Arabidopsis thaliana: one gene and its partners. The protein of the gene in region 2 interacts with the protein of the main gene of each other region in a pairwise test. Each region holds a gene or a part of one and is shown on either strand. Other genes may lie near its edges. The genes, in order: AGP27, AUX1, TIR1 and AXR4.

Region 1 (3,212 bases), on a different chromosome or scaffold from region 2:
ACCCTATAATGTGAAAACAAGAAACGTCCTTTACATATTTCTTCTCACCTAGATATTATTAATTTTAATATTGAGACTTTGAAACCCCAGAAATAAGATAAAGTGTGGGACAAGAAAAGAAGGCACCTTTTTTTGTTGTTGCTTTTAGCCGTGAGGCCAGCATATGCAGTAACTCACATGCATGCGCCTCTAACCTTGTGGCATTTTAGGAATTATGCAATAATGCACTATACTTAAATACGTTAATTCACAAAGTAATACATTCATTCAGTTCATAAACACGTCTCAAGATTAAGACAAAAATAATCATAAAAAACTGGTGTTTTACATAAACTTATGTCGAAATTAATTAGTAGTCTACATATAATTACTCAAGTGTTATTTGCATGTAAACAGTACAAATTTTTGGAACGTTTGATTTTGATACTACTATAAACTGCAGTATACTGTAAAGCATGCATATGACGTCACTTTAATTTGAAACGTAATTTCAACTTTTTCAAAAGGTTCTTTAGCTTAGCGATAAAAAAAAAAAAAAAAGTTAGTGTATAGTAAACGAACAAATGAAATGAAAAGAAGAGAAAAGTATAAGTCCTCAAAGTGTATTGAATCACTTAACGGTAAATTAGTTTTTATTTTTATTTTTATCCAGAGTTCTTAAGTTAATTATGCATCAATTATGTGGTTCTGACGTAATATATTACTTGCGTTTTTCATCTAAACCAATCTAAAACTGTAACAAAATGTTAAGTGGAGAACAATAAAAAATACAAATAGTAAAAAAAAATTGAAAATCAAACTAAATCTAATTTTATTCGTTATTTTTAGGGGACAAATAAACTCATGAAAATAATGACGTACGTGGTCTAAAATATATGAATGACCTATATAGCTGAAACGGCAAGAAGCCGGAGCGAGAAACAATAGACGGCGGCGAAGACAAAGTAGATGAAAACTCCGGGAGCTTGAGAAGACAGAGAAGCAAGAGATGAAGCCGGAGGAGAAGCCGATGGAGCGAAGGCGGGATCAGGATCTGCGGAAACGTCGTCGTTTTCTGGTTCAGGAAGTGTTGAAGAAGAAGGGATGGTTTGAGTGGAGGAGACGGCGGGTGAAGGGAGGAGAGGAGCGATCTCCGGTGAGATCTTTTCTTCAGAGGGAGAGATTGTTTGCGAAGATGGGATTGTATTTGTCGTCGGCGAAGAGAGAGAAAGTGAGGAGAGAAAGATGAAGGTGATGAGTGTTAGCAATATAGATGAAGCCATCTTTTTTGGTTACTGTAATGATGAACAAATCAAAGCTGAGTTGTTTTTTTCCTTAACTGATGAGAGCGCATTTTGTGTTGTAATAATGATACTGTCTCTATAAAAGAAAACTTTTAGCTCTAATAGTAAAATATTATAAATTGATTTTAAATGGAATTTGTCTCACCTTTTTCCAAAAAGATTATTATTTATCAATTTAAAGGATGTGTTCGGTGGAAAAGAAAATATATTTGCTGAATTCTTGAAGATGGGCGTAGATCGAGTTTTCACTTTTTAGTAGAAGCTCTTATATATTGCACATATTTTCGAATAAACATGTGCTTTACTTTTTGCTGAAAAATATTATGTTAATGCAAATTATACATATTGCTAAGTACGAGTAAAGGCATCTCCATCCATGAGAAACCTACAAAGTTTCTAAAACAAAAAAAATATTAATATTATATTATAATTTAATTATTTGATTAAAAAAGTAATTTTGTTAAAAAATTGAATCAATAGTGAGATGAGAATTGTCATGATGGGTTGTAGAGAATATCTCAAAATTTTTCAAGTGAGAAACTTTCTACATTTTCTCTCCTTCATTTTCATTATTTTTATTTTTTTAATTGTGAAAAACTCTTATGAAATACCTTCAATGGAGATGGTCTAATTACGTTTGTTGTTGCCTCGTTGGATGTTCAAATAAAAAGCACATTTTATATTGGGTTGTTCCTAAACAAATATTTTGTTGTCTTTTGTACTAAAGTTTATTGGCGAGTTAAGAAAAGCTTTGTGGTGTGTGGGAATTATTATTATTATTTATTATTTATTGTTCTTTAGTTTGCTATGCAATTCGAGCCCACTAAAGAGGCTTCCTATGGGCCCAAAAAACGCAGCCCACTATTGTAGTGCAAAACGTGCTGAGTTTTCTACATTGCATGCCCAACAATGGCCACCAGTGTAGTTAAAGACTCAAGAACTTGCTGACCTCTATTTGTTTGACTTTCTTTTTTGTGTGAACAAAATCACATATTGTTGATGTCATTTGTTCTGCTATAATTCTTAACTTCAGATTACAGATAACGAATTTTCTCTTGATGATTTAAACAAACATATATAATTGTCAATATCAGAAAATGAAAAGGAGATATAAATAATTTTTTTTTGCGCCTAATCGAAACTTCACCTACCATTTTTTAGCGTATAAAAACGTTAAAAATACCAAAATTTAGAAATCCAATAAAAGTTGTGAAAAAAAGCCGCAAAGGGTCGTTGTTGTTTGTCGCCTCTCAATGGCAGCTTCTTCAACTAATGCTCGTCTCACCAACCCTCCTCGTCTACTCTCCAAACCCCGACTTTCACCTACCTCCGTCGCCAATCTCCGTTTTCCAGCCGCCGATTTCTCCACTCGCTTCTTTGCCGATTCTTCGTCCCCGCGGCTAAGGAGTGTACCGTTTCCGGTGGTATTTTCCGATCAAAGGCGCCGGCGAAGCATGGAACCTAGCAATGTCTATGTTAGTGATTCTTCCTTTAGTTCAGTTTTCTTTTGTTGTTTTCTGTTCCGTTTTTATTGGAGAAGGATAGGTAATGATGAATTTGCAGATTTATCGCTTCAAATAAATTTGGTATTAGTTTTGGATGAAGACTTTGATGTTTCGTGTACAACATTGGTTTAGCTATTTAGAATCGATCTTCAGAATTTTTGTTTAGTTCTGAGAAGTAGTTGGATTTTTAATTGATTGTGGAATTTATCCTGTTTTGTGATCTCAGGTGGCTTCAAATTCCACGGAAATGGAGATCGGAAGTCATGATATCGTGAAGAATCCGAGCTTGATCTGTGCTCCAGTGATGGCGGATTCAATAGACAAGATGGTGATTGAAACGAGTAAAGCCCATGAATTGGGTGCAGACTTGGTTGAAATTCGATTAGATTGGCTAAAGGACTTCAATCCTCTTGAGGATCTAAAA
Region 2 (6,506 bases):
ACCGTTTCTTAGCTGGAAGTTTACGATAACGTATCCAACATTTAAGTATTGTCGAGCCATATAATTAGAGAAAATGACTAGTGAGAACACTGAGAGGTTTAGCAGCTGAGCAAGCAAGTTACTTACAAAACTTGGAAACAAAGGTTGTCACACTAATATTCACACTACGTGAGAATTCGTACAGTGCACATCAATATAATATTTTTAAAACAGCAAAGTGAAAAATGAACATGATACTATATATATCCAATTTATTAACAAAATTTTATAACTTATAGTATCAAAAATAGTAAGACTCATATTAGACCAATATATATTAATGCCTACCTACCTTTGACCTTAGGAGAAAGTATGAATAATTAACATGTATCCAGGAATGGCATTGTAGAAAATACTATTTTACATTACTATTTCATCTAAGGATTGAGATTTCATATGAATTCAATGATTTATATTTACTGCCAATATTTTTTTATCTTACTAATTTAAACGAAAGAGATATTTTAACTTGAAATAATTAGAAAATAGGTTATAGATCATTCAAACATAAAATTATTAAACTGTTCAACTATTTCTAAATGATTTATGTTAGCCGTCAGATAATTAACATGGAAAATTCTAGTTTCATCATGATAATACTCCAACTATATGTGTTAATATGCGTATAAGAGAGAGTATGGCGTAGTATCCAATCATTTCTTAGTATCATGTAGTATTTGGTATATGCCGTATAGTAGTACCCAATTATTTCTTTGATGGGCAAATGCTAATGACTAATGAGTATTTTGCAAACTCATGATCACTGAAAACATGAGCCTTCGGTCGACGATCAGGTGTCTTAAATTTGTCTGCTCTTTAATTTTTGTAGGATAAAAAATTGAAAAATTTGAACTTTAGACCATAGAATAGATTATTCCAGCTAGTAATCTAGAATAAGAATGATGTGAAAAACTTGTATTTAGTGGTTGATCATATAACCAAACCAAAGGATGATTACGTTTTCCTTAAACTCTAAAAACATGCAGATTATTGATCTGTCCATCCTAGTTTTAGGTACGGTATTAAATTTAGATAGCTGTTGAAAAAAAACAAAAGTGAAGATATCTAAATCTAGATATGTTGGAGCAAATCCAGTAGTGGATTCTAAGCAAAGTTTCTAACCTATAATAATAATAATAAAATAATAAATAATATTATTTAATTAAGATAGTTTATAAGGAAATGTGAGAGAGTTTCTAATTCAAGAGATTTTGAAGACTCTTCTAACTATTTTTAGAAACTTTTCAAATTAAATAATATTATTTCTTATTTTATTATTATTTTAGTAGATTAGAAACTATGGTTAGAAACCACCATTGAGTATGCTCTTAATTTATATCCTATAACAAGTCAATAAATCGTCAAACATTAATACGTTGCATTATTTGTTTGTCATCATATCTTAAATATTTCGAATTAAATGATACGTTTTCGTCACACAACTAATGCTTTTTAGTAGATGAAATATAGTAAAATACGATTTTATGTATTTTGAACCCATGTGGCGTTATGTTTTAATTTATTATTGGATAGTAGAAGAAGCCGGAAATTCTGGATGTCAAATAGTCACATTAATATTCAATGCGAAAACGTAAAAAAAAGTAAGATGCTACCGTTACCTAAACAAAAGTTAATGGTGTGATTTTACAGCACCTGTTTAATATTTTTAAAATTACATAAAAAAACCAAAGAGAAGTAAGAAAAAATGAAAAAGAGAGATTGGTATATAAAAAGGAGGAGTAGGGGGTGAAGCCCGAAGCATCTTATAGTATTTTTAGCTTCATTCCTTCTTTTGCTCTGATCAAAGTCTTCTCCTTCCCTTCTCTCTCTCTTTCCTCCTCTGCACATTTCTGGGTTCTTCTCTTCTTATGCTCTGTTTCTTTTAAGACACAGAAGAAACAGTACAGAGTTGAGATTTTCTTAAACAAAAGTGAAAAGAGAAGAAACAAGTGACAGCTCAAACGGACAAAAACCACTCTTGGGTCTTTCTTGCTTCTGATTCTTTCTCTTCTCTAATAGAAGAAAACGTAAGTCACTCTCTCTACTCTCTTTTTTCACACTGAAGAAGAGAAAAAACGTGAACAAAGAACTGTCAATTCTCTTTCCCTCTCTGTTTTATCTTCTTGAATTCTCCAAGATTGAGATCTCTCTCAGTCTCTTATGTGCTCTGTTTTCTCCTCTCTGTTTTCACTTAGTTACTAAACACAATCGATTCTTTCGCTCTGTTTTATTTCTCAGATCTAGAAGCTAAAAAAATGTCGGAAGGAGTAGAAGCGATAGTAGCAAATGACAACGGAACAGATCAGGTAAACGGAAACCGTACCGGGAAAGATAACGAAGAACACGACGGCTCCACCGGTTCTAACCTAAGCAATTTCCTATGGCACGGTGGCTCTGTCTGGGACGCTTGGTTCAGCTGCGCATCTAACCAAGTAAACCAATAAAACCATAAACTAAAGATTCAAAATTTCGGATTTCTCATAGTGAAGAAAGATCTGATTTGTAGTAATTATCGTTGGTTTCAGGTGGCTCAAGTGTTATTGACATTACCGTACTCGTTTAGTCAACTAGGAATGTTATCAGGAATAGTACTTCAGATCTTCTATGGTTTACTAGGAAGCTGGACTGCTTATCTCATCTCTGTTCTCTACGTCGAATACAGAGCTCGTAAAGAAAAAGAAGGCAAAAGCTTCAAAAACCACGTCATTCAGGTCCCCTCTTTAAACCCTCTCTCTCTAATCAGAATCACTAAATCATAATTATCTTTCACTAATCTAACACTTTTAAAAATCTCAACAGTGGTTTGAAGTACTTGATGGATTACTTGGTTCATACTGGAAAGCACTAGGACTCGCATTTAATTGCACTTTCCTCTTGTTTGGATCTGTTATCCAACTCATTGCTTGTGCCAGGTCTGTTATCTTTTAATCATTCTCTTTATCTTTTTAATCACTCTTTAATGATTAAGAATGGAGGATAATTGAAATATGATTGGTGTTTACTTGCAGTAACATTTATTACATAAACGATCATCTGGACAAGAGAACATGGACTTACATATTTGGCGCGTGTTGTGCAACCACTGTCTTTATACCGTCGTTTCACAATTACCGAATTTGGTCATTCCTTGGCCTTGGAATGACCACTTACACCGCTTGGTACTTAGCCATTGCCTCCATCATCCACGGCCAGGTAATGTTTTAATATATTTCACCAAAAATATATTTCATCACATTATAAAGATCACTACACTGTCGTTTTCATATTTATATGCTTTGCATTGAGGTGACAGTATATGCCTTAATTAAAAAGAAGAATAAAAAAAATTCGTATTTTCTCTTTAAGATCAGGGATTATTCTTTGCATCTTAACCCAAATTTGTATTAAAAAGTGTATGTATAATATAACTTAGACAAAATTAGCTGTTTAATATTCTCCTAATCAAATTTTTTTTTTGTTGTTTATTTTAGGCGGAAGGTGTGAAACATTCAGGTCCAACAAAGCTAGTGCTTTATTTTACGGGAGCCACAAATATTTTGTACACCTTTGGAGGTCACGCGGTTACTGTGTAAGTTACTCTTCTTTTGATTTCTTAATGATTATTAATTTTGTATCTAATAAAAGATCAATAAATTTTGTCAGACATAGTTGAATTACTATTTAAGTTAAAGCTAAATGGCAGAAAAAGTATATGGTAAATTAAAATGGTGCCATATTATTAAATTATGGGTGCTGCTGTATCGTTTCTTCGCCGCTTCTATTGCAGCTTTTGCCGGCAAATAAGGTGTAACTATTATTACAGTCATCATGATTGTCATTATTATTTTTAGCAATCCTTAAAATAGTAGTACTAATAAAATAAGCTCTTTTTAAATATAAAATAGAATAACCATTATTATTCCTATCCCTATAAAGAATAACAAACACTATTGCTACCAAAGCACTACTACTACTAGTAGGAATAGTACGCTTTTGCGAAATGTCAAATACACCCTTTTTATGCGTCAATGATTGTTGTGAATCCAATCTTTTACATAGTTAAAGTTTTGGATGAAATTATGAATATTAACAGTAATTTCTAATTTGCAGTGAGATTATGCATGCTATGTGGAAACCACAGAAGTTTAAGTACATTTACTTGATGGCGACGTTATACGTGTTCACGCTAACGATTCCGTCAGCTGCCGCCGTTTACTGGGCTTTCGGAGACGCACTTCTCGACCACTCCAACGCTTTCTCTCTTATGCCCAAGAACGCGTGGCGTGACGCCGCTGTTATCCTCATGCTCATTCATCAGGTATACACATACAACATTTTTGTTCTTTCTTTTTTAAGTAAATTTTGATCATGAGAGATTAATGCAACGTGTTCTTGTTCGTGCAGTTTATAACGTTCGGGTTCGCTTGTACACCTTTGTACTTTGTGTGGGAGAAAGTGATTGGGATGCATGACACAAAGAGCATTTGCTTAAGGGCTTTGGCTAGATTGCCTGTGGTCATACCTATTTGGTTCTTAGCTATTATCTTCCCCTTTTTCGGTCCAATCAATTCCGCTGTCGGTGCTCTTCTTGTTAGCTTCACCGTCTATATCATCCCATCTCTCGCTCACATGCTCACTTACCGATCTGCCTCCGCTCGTCAGGTATAACATCTTTACTAGCTCACTCTCTTTTAGCGTTTCAAAACTCGAACTTAACCTAAAATACATTGAGTTACCAATAATTTTTTAGAAATGAAATGAAGAGTCGGTGGAGGAATATTATAGTTGGGGGGTAGGGTTGTGAAATTGGAGGGCAAAAACGTCTTTTGTGGAAGATAGATGGGGTTCAGTGTTCCGTATCTTACGGAAGATAGGATCATCACCCACATTCCTTACTGGCGTCCCCTCCAAATAATATATTATTGAGTTGGTTTCAGCCATTTCTTTATTTGGTTACATTTAGAAGAAAAAATACAATATCCGGTTAGGTTAGTATTAGTAATTGACCATGACTTCTTTTTCTTTCTCTCTTTCAAAACAGTGTATATTAAATTTACGTAAGATAAAAGTAGAGGAAAATAGGGGAGAGGAATAGGTAAGAGTCATAATCAGAAATGAAAAGGAGCTGTACAATAGGGACTCTATGCCTAACATTAATCTAAAGTGAGAGTCTGAGTATGACAAATCACAATCATATCTCTCTCTCTCTCTCTCTATCTCATGGGTCAACAAAGCTTTGGATTTTGTCCATTACTATACGACCAAAACTCTAAAACACTTACACACTCTCTATTTCTTTAATGGTTCTCTGATTATTTTTGTGTTTTGGATCTTTCTTGTAGAATGCGGCGGAGAAGCCACCGTTCTTTATGCCGAGCTGGACGGCGATGTACGTGTTGAATGCTTTCGTGGTGGTTTGGGTTCTTATAGTCGGATTTGGGTTCGGTGGATGGGCTAGTGTAACCAACTTTGTTCGTCAAGTCGACACTTTTGGTCTCTTTGCCAAGTGTTACCAATGTAAACCAGCTGCAGCCGCCGCACATGCCCCGGTCTCCGCTTTACACCACCGTCTTTGAGAGATCGAGTCAGGGTTCTTCTAATGCGTTTGTGGAGGGTTCTTAAAATTATTTGTTCTTCTTTTGTGTTTTGTGTTCGTATACGTGAAGGGAGTAAAAGTCACGAAAATAGTGTACTTTTTACACACCCCTTTAAATGCGTGCTAAGCTCTTAATTATTTTTTTCTCTTTTGGGGTTTTGTATTTTTGTTTTCACTCCTTAGTTTTTTTTTTAAAATTGAATAGTCGATAATATGTAGTGTGTGATTTCTTAATTTGGTATTGTTAAAACAATAGGCTAAGAAAATGTATCGTCTTCTCTCCTTTTACTTGTCTTTAGTAACAAAAAACAATTCTTATCTTATACATTTATCCTAATTAGACTTATATAAACTATTTTACCATGAACAATATCTTCCGATACTAGATAATTCTTTAGGATCCTATTAGATCTTTTAATTATACAGTTTTGATCATAGCACAGCGACAATACTACTAAGTTTACATTAAAATTTTGAAATAACACTTTAATTTATTTGGAAAATTTGATTTAACGGCAGGGTGTGTTTAAAAATTAAATAGGGGAACATGGACAAGTTGGACCGACGGAGCCGGTCATATATCCTATGGGCCACATGGGTGTGGGGAGAGGACGCACGTGGATACTTCGTCCGAGTCACGTGCCATTATTTACTTGACACTCTTCATCTTCTCTCTGATCAAAAGAATGGATCAGAGGACCGTTCCTGTCCCTCATATTAAATATGGCATGTGTTCGTTCCATTCGTACTCAATCGTTTACCCCTTATCATATGCTCTGCTTTCACATGTACTTTGCCCCCAAAGATTATAACTATATATGTAAAATTATTAACTAATATTCTCGTTTGAATCCAGAGTCCGATTCTTGTACTTTCCATCTGACTTTTTTTT
Region 3 (5,966 bases), on a different chromosome or scaffold from region 2:
TACATCCGCCAAGAAAATGTCTGCAGGTTTCAATTCTCTGCAATGACTGCAACAAGGGGAGTAAAGCTATGTTCCACATTTTGGGACACAAGTGCAGTGATTGCGGTTCATACAACACTCGGAGAATCTCAACGCCACAAGATCCAGTGAGTGAAACAGAGTGATCATTTTCTGAAGCCAACTCTTCTTCATTGAATTTTCCCGTCATTGGTCCAACCATAGAGCGATAGGGCTGTGTTCTGCTTATTTATTTTTGTTCTTGGCCTAAAAACACTTGAAACGGAAAATATCGTACTGTTATATAAATGGTATTACTGTGTTTAGTCATCATGTAAACTGAAAATTTGAAAAAGCTTGTTTTTCATATGAAAAACAACAGTTCAATTACATTGTGTCCTATCACACGTTTGACGATGATGCTATTCCAAGACCTTTACACAGAGCAAGATTCTCTTGTTTCTAATTATGGTGATAAAGAGAGTGTAGGGACCTGAGACGAAACTAGGTGCTGTTCCAAAACCGAAAAGGCTGCAAACAGTTCATTAAGCGGACAAAGGAAATGGCAAAGACAAAGAGAGAGAGAGATAGAAAACATTTAAAAGGATAAAAGAGTCCAAACAAAACAAGTAGAACAGTTACATTTTTGACATTGTCTTTTAAAAAAATCTCTTATCCTCTTAAGAAAAATACCCCACCAGGATCTCTCAGTGTAAGTAGCCAAATAAACATACAACAATCAATAATTCTTACATAAATAAAACAAAGCTCTCTTAGATCTCTCTTTCTCTCTCTCCACTTATTCATTGCTCATGAGCTTGATGGTTATATGAAGCAGCCGAGATTCAAATTATTGGCGACCGAGCTCTCTCATGTTCCTAAACCGGAACACGATTATATGGGATGATGAACAAGGATTAATGAAAAATGTACCTCGTTTCTTTGTCTTATAATCCGTTAGTAGTAATGATTTGCCTGGAAAACCTCATTGTTGAGTCTTGGTCCATGTTCCAGACGAAGCCAGGCATGTCAAATCGAGGACCAGCCACTGTTCGGTATATGAAGACTCTCTCAACAGGGCAGCTCTCTGGTCTCGAGTCCGGTGCACCCCGTTCATCGATGACTTCCACATTCAGCTTTGGCATCTTCTGTCCTAGTAACTTGCAGGCTCCAAAACTCACGGAACAAGAAGACATCCAAAGGGATCGCATTGTCTCCAGCTTTGAAGCATTGGCCAAAAGCGCCTTGTCTCCAAACGGGCAGTCCCTTATCTCTAGTTTCCTCAAGCTATCGCACCCGGACAAAACATGATGCATGCCTAAGTCACTGTCTCCTGCAAATGCCACTGAGAGCATTTCCATCTTCTTGGCATATGTCCCAATGTATTCAAAAACCTTGTCGGTCAAGAGGCCAGATAGAGAGAGGCGACGGAGATCCTTGCAGTGCTCTACTATGGCTCCAAATCCAATATCCAGTGGCTCTAGAGTCAGATAGTCTGGGGCTTTTGGCTCAATGATGCACAAACGGAAGCGAGTCATGTTGGGACGGTTCCTAGCAATGGTTATCAATGCAGCATTGGTCATTTGACGGCAGAAGTAGAGAACCGACTCGAGTTTTGGACAGCCCATGGAGACGGAGACAAGCCCCTGTTCCGTCAATGCCACATTTGGTTCCATGACAAAAGGCTCGGACGGAAACACTCTCAGCTCGCGTAGGTCCTTGCAGGTTGAAGCAAGCACCTCAAGACCAGCATCCTCGATGTAGTCAAGCACCTGTAGTCAATAATAAGTTAGAGCACAGTTACAAAAAGAAAAAGGCTTTAATGCTTATAATTCAGATATATTGCTCTATATCATTCAAATTTTTTAAGAAAACTATGAACATAAGCTTTCTCATACCATACAGTAAAATGACCTATTCCAAATTCATGTGTTAATGTATGTTAAAATGGACTCACCCAGAGGCGCTGCAGTTTAGGGCATTGACAAAGAAGCTTGACAAGATCATAGCTCTGGACTGTTGCATAACTCAGATTCAAAGTTGTAAGCCGACTGCAAACCGAATAAACTGCTGGAAGATAGGCAGGAACAGCATCCCAAAATCCAGATAAGCACCTCAATTCCTTGCACCCAGAGAGCGCTACAGATAAACCAGAGTAAACATCTGGTCGCACTTCTGCAGTGTACCCACCAGTGCCCAATTCCTCCAATTGAGGTGCTCTTTGAAGTAAAGTAGCCAATTTTTCAAGTGGAACAGCTCGGTTAAGCTTGAGAGACTTGAGATTGGGACACCTAGTCACCAGCCTTTCCAGAGCAGAGAAACTGACCTCAGATGCTAAGCAAGATATATTGAGTGATACCAAAGAAGTGTATGTATCTGGGAAATGGCTAAGCCAGTGGCCACTAACGTCGTCAACATCACTCTCTCGTAAGTCAAGCTCTTTCAGATTCCTGCATAAGAAATCACATAATTAGCATCGAGTGACCCACATTATACAACTTCGAGAACATAAACATTGCCTACAATACATGAGCATAATTGTCATTAATTTGTCCAAAGTTGTATTTGATACAATGTAGAAAGATCACTTTGGGAAACTATCTAAGCATAGAACAATAACAAATTACTAAATTTATCACGTGGAAGCAATGTGAGAGATGCTAAAACAGAGCTAAAGCGAGTAAAGAAGGGGAATCCGAAAACAGATCTAAGTTTCCCAACAAGGTAAAAAAAGAAAATTGAAAGTCCCCTACAAAAAGAAAAGTAACACACACAAAGCCAAATTGATTAGATTTCCCACCTCAGGAGATTCACTGAGAGCGAATAATCCAGGAATAAATAGATACACCACCGTTAAATAAGACCCACCAGAAAGAAAAAGAGAGTGGCTATAATAAGAATCTTCAGAAACGTGATTAAAACATATATCTTTTAGATACGCAAAATCTTGACCAAACCAAAAAAAAGCTCACAAAGACCAGAGTAACATCAGCAGGAACAACGCAGCAAAACCTATATGCCCAGATCAAATAACAAGTACATGAATTTGCTATAATTGAGACTTTATGTAGTATAATGAATATACAAATCACACACCAATAAGTTTAATACAAACAAAAGCTTCTTCCTAGAGACACAAGGGAGTCTTCTTGATGAAACAAAAAACATTCAGAAAAAGAATACCTGCAAGTGGCAGCGATAGCAGCGAGACCATCGGTGGAGAAGCCTTCGCAGGAAGAAAGCACAAGAACCTTAAAATTCTTAAAAGACTTGGCTATGAGCTCCAAGCAATCGTCGGTGACCACCATCCTCTTCAGCCTTATCTCTTCAAGCCACGTGTAAGACGAAGACATGGCCTCAATCCATGGATACACGTAACCTCCCCATCCGTCAGGTACCAAATTAAAGTCAGCAAAGTGAGGTTTTCCTTTAAGCTCCACGGATCTCACTTTCGGGAACCTCCTAATCACCGTCGCTGGACTCACGGCGTAGCAGTTCCCGATGAAGACTTTCCTCCTGCACCACCGCTCGATCTCGTACCATGACTTGCACACCAGAGAGACTGAGTTCCTATCCTTATCCAGCTGAATAAACGAGAACACATGCTCTAGTACCTCTTCTGGAAACGACAAGGCTATTCGCTTCTGCATTGCGGCCAAATAACCTCGAGATCTCGATGATCGAACCAGAGGAAGAAGTTGGACAGCGTTCGAAGAAGAGTTGAACAAGTATATATATATAACTCCCAAGGTTAGATCTGAGGCGCCATTAACGGAGATAATCTAGTTTCAAAGGAGAAGCTGAAACAAAGATGAAGAAGATAGATAGAGAGAGAGAGAGAGTGGGAAGAGAAGAGAAAAGGATAGGGGGAAGGAGAAGGAGGTCAAGTTAAAAAAGCCAACCATGGTTGGGTTAAAAGTTAACCGTGGTCAAACATATCCATGTGAGCCTTTTCGGTGATTGTGATTGTCGATTCTGATGATGACACGTGTCTTATAAGCTTCAAATACCAGCCGTCCGATTGAATGAAAGCGGGAGATTATCTTATCGACTGTGCAGAGAAGGGCAGCCGCAGAAAACGGGACGAGATATTGGAGAGGGGGGGTCGGCTTATCGCGGCTTCTATCAAAATAGCGCGAGAAGGAGATCAATGATAGGGTGTGGTAAGGTGTAGGAGAAGAGGGAATCTAATGATACGCGATGCACGGCTGGATATGAGGGGAAGCCCCGTAAATTGCGGGGACCACAACAGAATGTTAAAAAAAATACTAGACTACTAATGATCTGACGGTAACAAAACAATAAAAAAAGAAGCTATTACTGTTATTTATGATGACATCACAACCGTCCAATCATGTTTTGATGTGGAATCTGAGCATCTATCTCCTCCTATTATTAGTTTTGCATGTTCATTTATTTACCCACCACTTGGATTCATAAATAAACCATCAAGACTAATCACAGTTTCATTTTCTATTTTCTAGTAATATATAGTATTGATAAATTTGATTAACTAAAGTGTATCCTTTCTCATAGCATTAAAGTGAAGTAAATAGAGTTGAATGATGAATTAACATAACAAGAATCAGTGTTTTCGTGTGAGATTGGATTAAAACATTATTTGTATGTTTTTGAAGATTGCTGAATAATTTAAATTAAAATTGAAAGGATTGCACAAAAAAGAGTAAATGTGAGGGAAGTATCCAATAATTTAAAGTGAACAACTTTTATGAGTAGAGAAAGAAAAAAAGAGAGAGAAAGAATGGATACTGAAAAATTTGAATAAAGTAGAGAAGAAAGAAAGAAAGAAAGTGCAGCGTCGCATTTTAATCACGACCGTCAGATCTGGGACCCCTTTTTAACAGTGTACGGACATACATACATACACAATCGTGACTTTTAAAATTAATAATTACTTCTTAATTAATTTACCTCGTCTGGGTGTAATAAACGTATAAAAACTACAATTATTTCGGGCTCTGTCGCAAGTACAACGGCTTAGAGGAAAATAAATGGGTATTGAATTGACGAGAATGCCCTTCTTCTCGAAACAGTGTATGATGGGCTTTGCAGAGTCTGAGCATGGAGTTGATAGGTCTGTCCTGCCCTAACTAAAAAAACTTGTCACATTATCAAACTGTTCTATATCATCTTCGTATTACATACCATCCTGACCGTTTATCCACTTAAACTACTATTTAAAATATCGCACCTTTCTAGTTTTCTTTTTGAATGTACTGTTGATTAGTTCTTAAACCAAAAATAAAATCTAAAAATTATAATGACATACATACAAATACGAAGATTTTAAAAAAAAAAAATGTAGCAAGCAAGTGCTCAGAAATTGAGGTAGTAACGAAGAAAGAGATAATTAGGAAAAAACAAAGAGAGGGCTGAGTATAGTCAGATGGGAGAAGTGTGGAGCTGAGTTGTCTTGCACGTAATACGCTTAAGTTTTTTTAAAATTATAAGTTTTAATGTCGTCAGAAAAAGGGATTAACTTACACTGATATAATAAGAGGTCATTGATTATGAATTTTTTAAGGAAATGATTAGAATAATAATCCCACGCATGGCTCCCCCGCGAATCTCTCTTATTTCTTTCTCCTAGTCTCGGGTTTCGTACTCAAAACTAGCTTGCTCTTTGCTGTCTATTATCCCTTAATTATCTCCCTAATTATTTTTTTAATTATCTCTTCAGCGATATTAGATCCAACTCTGAATGAATTATAAATTGTGTACCTAAAAGCCGAGAATATTACAGACTGCATTATACTACTACTGTTTATGTGAGATAGAAATATGTGTACGCATGTGTGGACGGACATATATAAAAGAATAACATAGTACTATAGTATTTACATAATACTACTGTTTATATATAAGATAGATGATGAGTGATATATATAATGCGATTGATGAAGAGGTGGTGTACAAGTACAAGTAAAGTGGCACGTGATTTATAAAGC
Region 4 (4,391 bases), on a different chromosome or scaffold from region 2:
GGAAATGTGTCATTTTCTCTTGGTAACATGAAAGAAACTGAATATTTGGATATATTTCACAATGGTTCCGGGAGAGAATGAACAAGGTATTCGAAGCTTTAGTTCTTTGTATATGCTTGAAATTTGAACAACAATCTCATAGGAGTTAATCCAATTTGAATTTGTGAACTTTTTCCTTATATGTACTACTGATTCAAACAACATGGTGGAAGGTGAAATACCTCTTTCGTTGTTCAACAAAATAACATCCCATAATATGGAAGTATAGTGGTGCATGAGCAAATCTTAAAAAGAATTTATATGGTTATGTATATCACCACAATGTCCTTATATTTTCAATTAAACATCTCGAGAGTACTCTAGAATTGAATGTTCTTGAACTCGATTAATTTGAGGATGGGTAACCGAGAATTGATTTCTCGTAGTGTGTACTGTATAAATGAAGATAAAATACGGGAAAATATCACATAATGATTTATAGGATTGGTAACCAAGTCTTTAAAACCCCTGGAAGTAGCGAACTAACCGCTAGACAAAGGATGGGCCAATAGACTAGGGGAGGACATGAGACCTATGGACGGTTGCAATTGGAGAGTCACAAACAAGTCCAGTCATTTGCTAATGGAACTCTCGGGAAGCAACATATTTGGATATCAAATCTCTATATTTCGTAGCATTATTTCTACAAGGCAATAATTTATTAGGGGCTGTTCCAAAGACATTTGTAGCCAATGTTACCATACCTGTTATGAAAATTAACAAGTTGTCAAGTTCATCCACATTCAAAACATAAGTGTTCTTGTTTTATGGGATAATAATTTAACATGTCATATTCCTCACCAGTTGTGTGATCTAAGGAACATCCACCTTTTGGATCTTGCTAACAATGGATTCATAGCATCTTGTCTCAGCAGTATGGTGGGAGGAAAGTGGATGAATCATATTTTCATAATTATGAGATTGGTTACAGTCTTTATGATGTCTTCACTACTTATGATCCTGAACAAAACTCCACTACCATCCGGCCCAAGTGGATAAGGCAGAGGTGCACATGCCTAAAGCTCATCCAAATGTTTAAAAACTCATAGATTAAAAACCCATTTATTTTTGAAAAATATTAAAATAAGGCCCAAAACAAATTAGTATGAATCAGAACCCAAAACATTAGAATATTTGATAAGAAAAAACTCTTAAAAATATTTGTTGCCCCAAGGCTCTTATAGTTATAATTGTTGGGCCGGGGCTGTCCACTGCGACATAAAATATCATCAGTACATAGTTCAAATCCTTGCTTGTGTTAGATCCTGTGGAGTGTGGACTATTTGGCAAGGGCCGTACTGAAATAGAATTTGTCACAAAACCATTTGGATTTTGGAGCAGAGCTTGGTTTTACATCGTTGACCCTTTCATCCACTATCTTCTATTGGTGTCAAACCTTTAATATCCTAGTCTTTTTGTTGTACCCATTTGTTTGTTCATTCATATACCTTGTAATGTGTAGTGAAAACAGAGTTATGGTTTCCATAGGTTTTGGAATTCATTAGTGAAAAACTATACCCCACAATTGGCAAAAGACTAGGAACAAAATCAAAATTTGTTTCTCTGTTTGTGTCATCTTTAAACACGCTCCTTGAATGATGTTTCTCTTGTCCACTTTTGCAGAAAAGTCTGCTCTTTTATTATTACTATTATTATAATGCCTTTTGTCCTAAAAGACATCACCACACTTCTCTCACATTCTCTCAAGTTCCAAGCTTTCTTTAATGGCGATTATCACAGAAGAAGAAGAGGATCCAAAAACCCTAAATCCACCGAAGAACAAACCTAAAGACTCTGACTTTACGAAATCTGAATCAACTATGAAGAACCCTAAACCCCAATCTCAAAACCCTTTCCCATTTTGGTTCTACTTTACAGTAGTCGTCTCACTAGCCACAATCATCTTCATATCTCTCTCTCTGTTCTCTTCTCAAAACGATCCAAGATCTTGGTTTCTCTCACTCCCACCAGCTCTTCGTCAACATTACTCAAATGGACGAACAATCAAAGTCCAAGTAAACTCAAACGAGTCACCAATTGAAGTCTTTGTAGCTGAATCAGGTTCGATTCATACAGAGACTGTTGTAATCGTTCATGGGTTAGGTCTAAGTTCGTTTGCTTTTAAGGAAATGATTCAATCTCTTGGATCAAAAGGGATCCATAGTGTTGCTATTGATTTACCTGGAAATGGGTTCTCTGATAAGTCAATGGTAGTGATTGGTGGAGATAGAGAGATAGGGTTTGTGGCTAGAGTTAAGGAAGTTTATGGTTTGATTCAAGAGAAAGGTGTGTTTTGGGCTTTTGATCAGATGATTGAAACTGGAGATTTGCCTTATGAGGAGATCATAAAGCTTCAGAATTCGAAAAGGAGAAGCTTCAAAGCTATCGAGTTAGGGAGTGAAGAAACTGCTAGAGTTTTAGGTCAAGTGATTGATACTTTGGGTTTAGCTCCTGTGCATTTGGTTCTTCATGATTCAGCTTTAGGGTTAGCTTCGAATTGGGTTTCTGAGAATTGGCAAAGTGTTCGAAGTGTAACTCTTATTGACTCTAGTATTAGTCCAGCTTTGCCGTTGTGGGTTTTGAATGTACCGGGGATTCGAGAGATTTTGTTAGCGTTTTCGTTTGGTTTTGAGAAGCTAGTGAGCTTCCGGTGCTCAAAGGAGATGACTTTATCGGATATTGATGCTCATAGGATACTTTTGAAGGGAAGAAATGGGAGAGAAGCTGTTGTTGCTTCGTTAAACAAGTTAAACCATAGCTTTGACATTGCACAATGGGGTAATTCAGATGGGATTAATGGTATTCCGATGCAAGTGATTTGGTCTAGTGAAGCGTCTAAAGAATGGAGTGACGAGGGGCAACGTGTAGCTAAGGCTCTTCCGAAAGCAAAGTTTGTCACACATTCAGGCAGCCGGTGGCCTCAGGTTAGATATTCTTCGGACTTTTAAGTCATTTTAGTTTTATTGAATTGGTCAAAAGCAGAAGGTTTTGTGTTTATACTAAAATCAAGTATGTATCTCTAGTAATGAGTAAAGTTATAACCAGATCCAATTTCAAAATTTAGAGCATCTTTATCAACTATTTTTGAGATTGTTAGTATCGGATTGTTCTCTTGAACATACTTTGTTCTCCCATTAGTTTGTATTTTACTCGGTAGGAGCAGAGCATCTTTAGCTCTATAGCCTTTATTTTTGGGCTGCTTGACTTGTTTGAAGAACACAAACTTGTGTGGTCTTCTAGTTGTAAAATAGCAAAGGCACATTAATCTGAAACTGTGACGTTTTCAAGTAGGTGTAGAGTTCTTACTGGAACTTGTATCATTGAAGGGTATATATTTGAGTATGTTCAAGATTGGTTTTCGTTGTTTTACTTATCGTGGTTTTTCGGGTTTAATTCCTTAAAACTTGTGGTCGTTTTGATAATGCAGGAAAGCAAATCCGGCGAGCTTGCAGATTACATATCAGAATTTGTCTCTCTCCTCCCTAAATCCATCAGACGGGTTGCTGAAGAACCTATCCCTGAGGAAGTACAGAAAGTGTTAGAAGAAGCAAAGGCTGGTGATGACCATGACCATCATCATGGCCACGGGCATGCCCATGCTGGTTACTCGGATGCTTATGGTCTTGGTGAGGAATGGACTACTACTTGATATGCCTTTTGAAGTTCTTGTTATTATTTTACGATGTACTCTTAATCTTATGACTATTTTGAGATTTTTCTTTTGGGAGTTTAAAGTCTGAGATACTACTTCCAAATATGAATCTGTGTTTTGTACTTTTTGTTTGTAAGTCATCAAATTTCAATAGAAAAATATCTTAAAGTCATCATATTTTTAAATATCTACATATACATTTTTGCAGCCATTTTAACAAATAAATCATAGAGTTGGACTTATTTACAACCCAATGCCATTAATATTAAATCTTTTTCCAAAATAATTAATTTTCCTTTAAATTCTTAATATAAATTGTTAATCACATTATCAATCAAATTTAATCCAAACAAACTTCATATTAATCCCTTAAAATTAGCATAAACGTATTTGTTAATAATATTTTAAAACAATATTTTTTGTTTAAATAAATATTATTCTTACTAAACGTTTTTTGTTTAAATAAACAAATTCTGTATTTAAACTTATTTACAATGTCATGCTACCGTATTAATTATTTAGGAATGAAAATATTTAATTAACGATTTAAATCTTCTAAATCCTTACTTTTAGAGTTATTATTATGTCATTTACCTAAAAGGCAAAAAAAATTATTTTTTAAAAATATTATTATTTATATATTTAAACTTTATAAAACATTATTAATATTTAAACTTATAAAAAGTTTAATATATCAAAT

Evidence for each region.
Region 1: the proteins of AUX1 (region 2) and AGP27 interact in a protein complementation assay, tested with the Arabidopsis thaliana proteins (2 studies listed by BioGRID).
Region 3: the proteins of AUX1 (region 2) and TIR1 interact in a two-hybrid assay, tested with the Arabidopsis thaliana proteins (one study listed by BioGRID).
Region 4: the proteins of AUX1 (region 2) and AXR4 interact in binary tests that used the Arabidopsis thaliana proteins (3 or more experiments, as listed by UniProt).

The regions. Positions count from the first base shown.
Region 1 is NC_003074.8:1,927,026-1,930,237, reverse strand, and holds AGP27 (arabinogalactan protein 27), read right to left. Parts: upstream 1,371-3,212; 5' UTR 1,263-1,370; coding exon 885-1,262; 3' UTR 554-884; downstream 1-553. Other genes in the region: MEE32 (dehydroquinate dehydratase, putative / shikimate dehydrogenase), read left to right, coding at 2,537-2,758, 3,015-3,212. UniProt on the Arabidopsis thaliana protein: Proteoglycan that seems to be implicated in diverse developmental roles such as differentiation, cell-cell recognition, embryogenesis and programmed cell death.
Region 2 is NC_003071.7:15,971,199-15,977,704, forward strand, and holds AUX1 (Transmembrane amino acid transporter family protein), read left to right. Parts: upstream 1-1,677; 5' UTR 1,678-2,066; intron 2,067-2,277; 5' UTR 2,278-2,294; coding exon 2,295-2,471; intron 2,472-2,564; coding exon 2,565-2,750; intron 2,751-2,838; coding exon 2,839-2,951; intron 2,952-3,047; coding exon 3,048-3,231; intron 3,232-3,509; coding exon 3,510-3,607; intron 3,608-4,128; coding exon 4,129-4,336; intron 4,337-4,422; coding exon 4,423-4,680; intron 4,681-4,768; coding exon of another isoform or gene 4,769-4,774; exon of another isoform or gene 4,775-5,360; coding exon 5,361-5,594; 3' UTR 5,595-5,982; downstream 5,983-6,506. UniProt on the Arabidopsis thaliana protein: Carrier protein involved in proton-driven auxin influx.
Region 3 is NC_003074.8:23,272,535-23,278,500, forward strand, and holds TIR1 (F-box/RNI-like superfamily protein), read right to left. Parts: upstream 4,097-5,966; 5' UTR 3,648-4,096; coding exon 3,181-3,647; intron 2,448-3,180; coding exon 1,955-2,447; intron 1,770-1,954; coding exon 945-1,769; 3' UTR 531-944; downstream 1-530. Other genes in the region: AT3G62970 (zinc finger (C3HC4-type RING finger) family protein), read left to right, coding at 27-164. UniProt on the Arabidopsis thaliana protein: Auxin receptor that mediates Aux/IAA proteins proteasomal degradation and auxin-regulated transcription.
Region 4 is NC_003070.9:20,509,802-20,514,192, forward strand, and holds AXR4 (alpha/beta-Hydrolases superfamily protein), read left to right. Parts: upstream 1-1,717; 5' UTR 1,718-1,763; coding exon 1,764-2,963; intron 2,964-3,466; coding exon 3,467-3,688; 3' UTR 3,689-3,880; downstream 3,881-4,391. UniProt on the Arabidopsis thaliana protein: Required for the auxin influx facilitator AUX1 polar trafficking and its asymmetric localization within the plasma membrane. Not involved in the PIN proteins localization.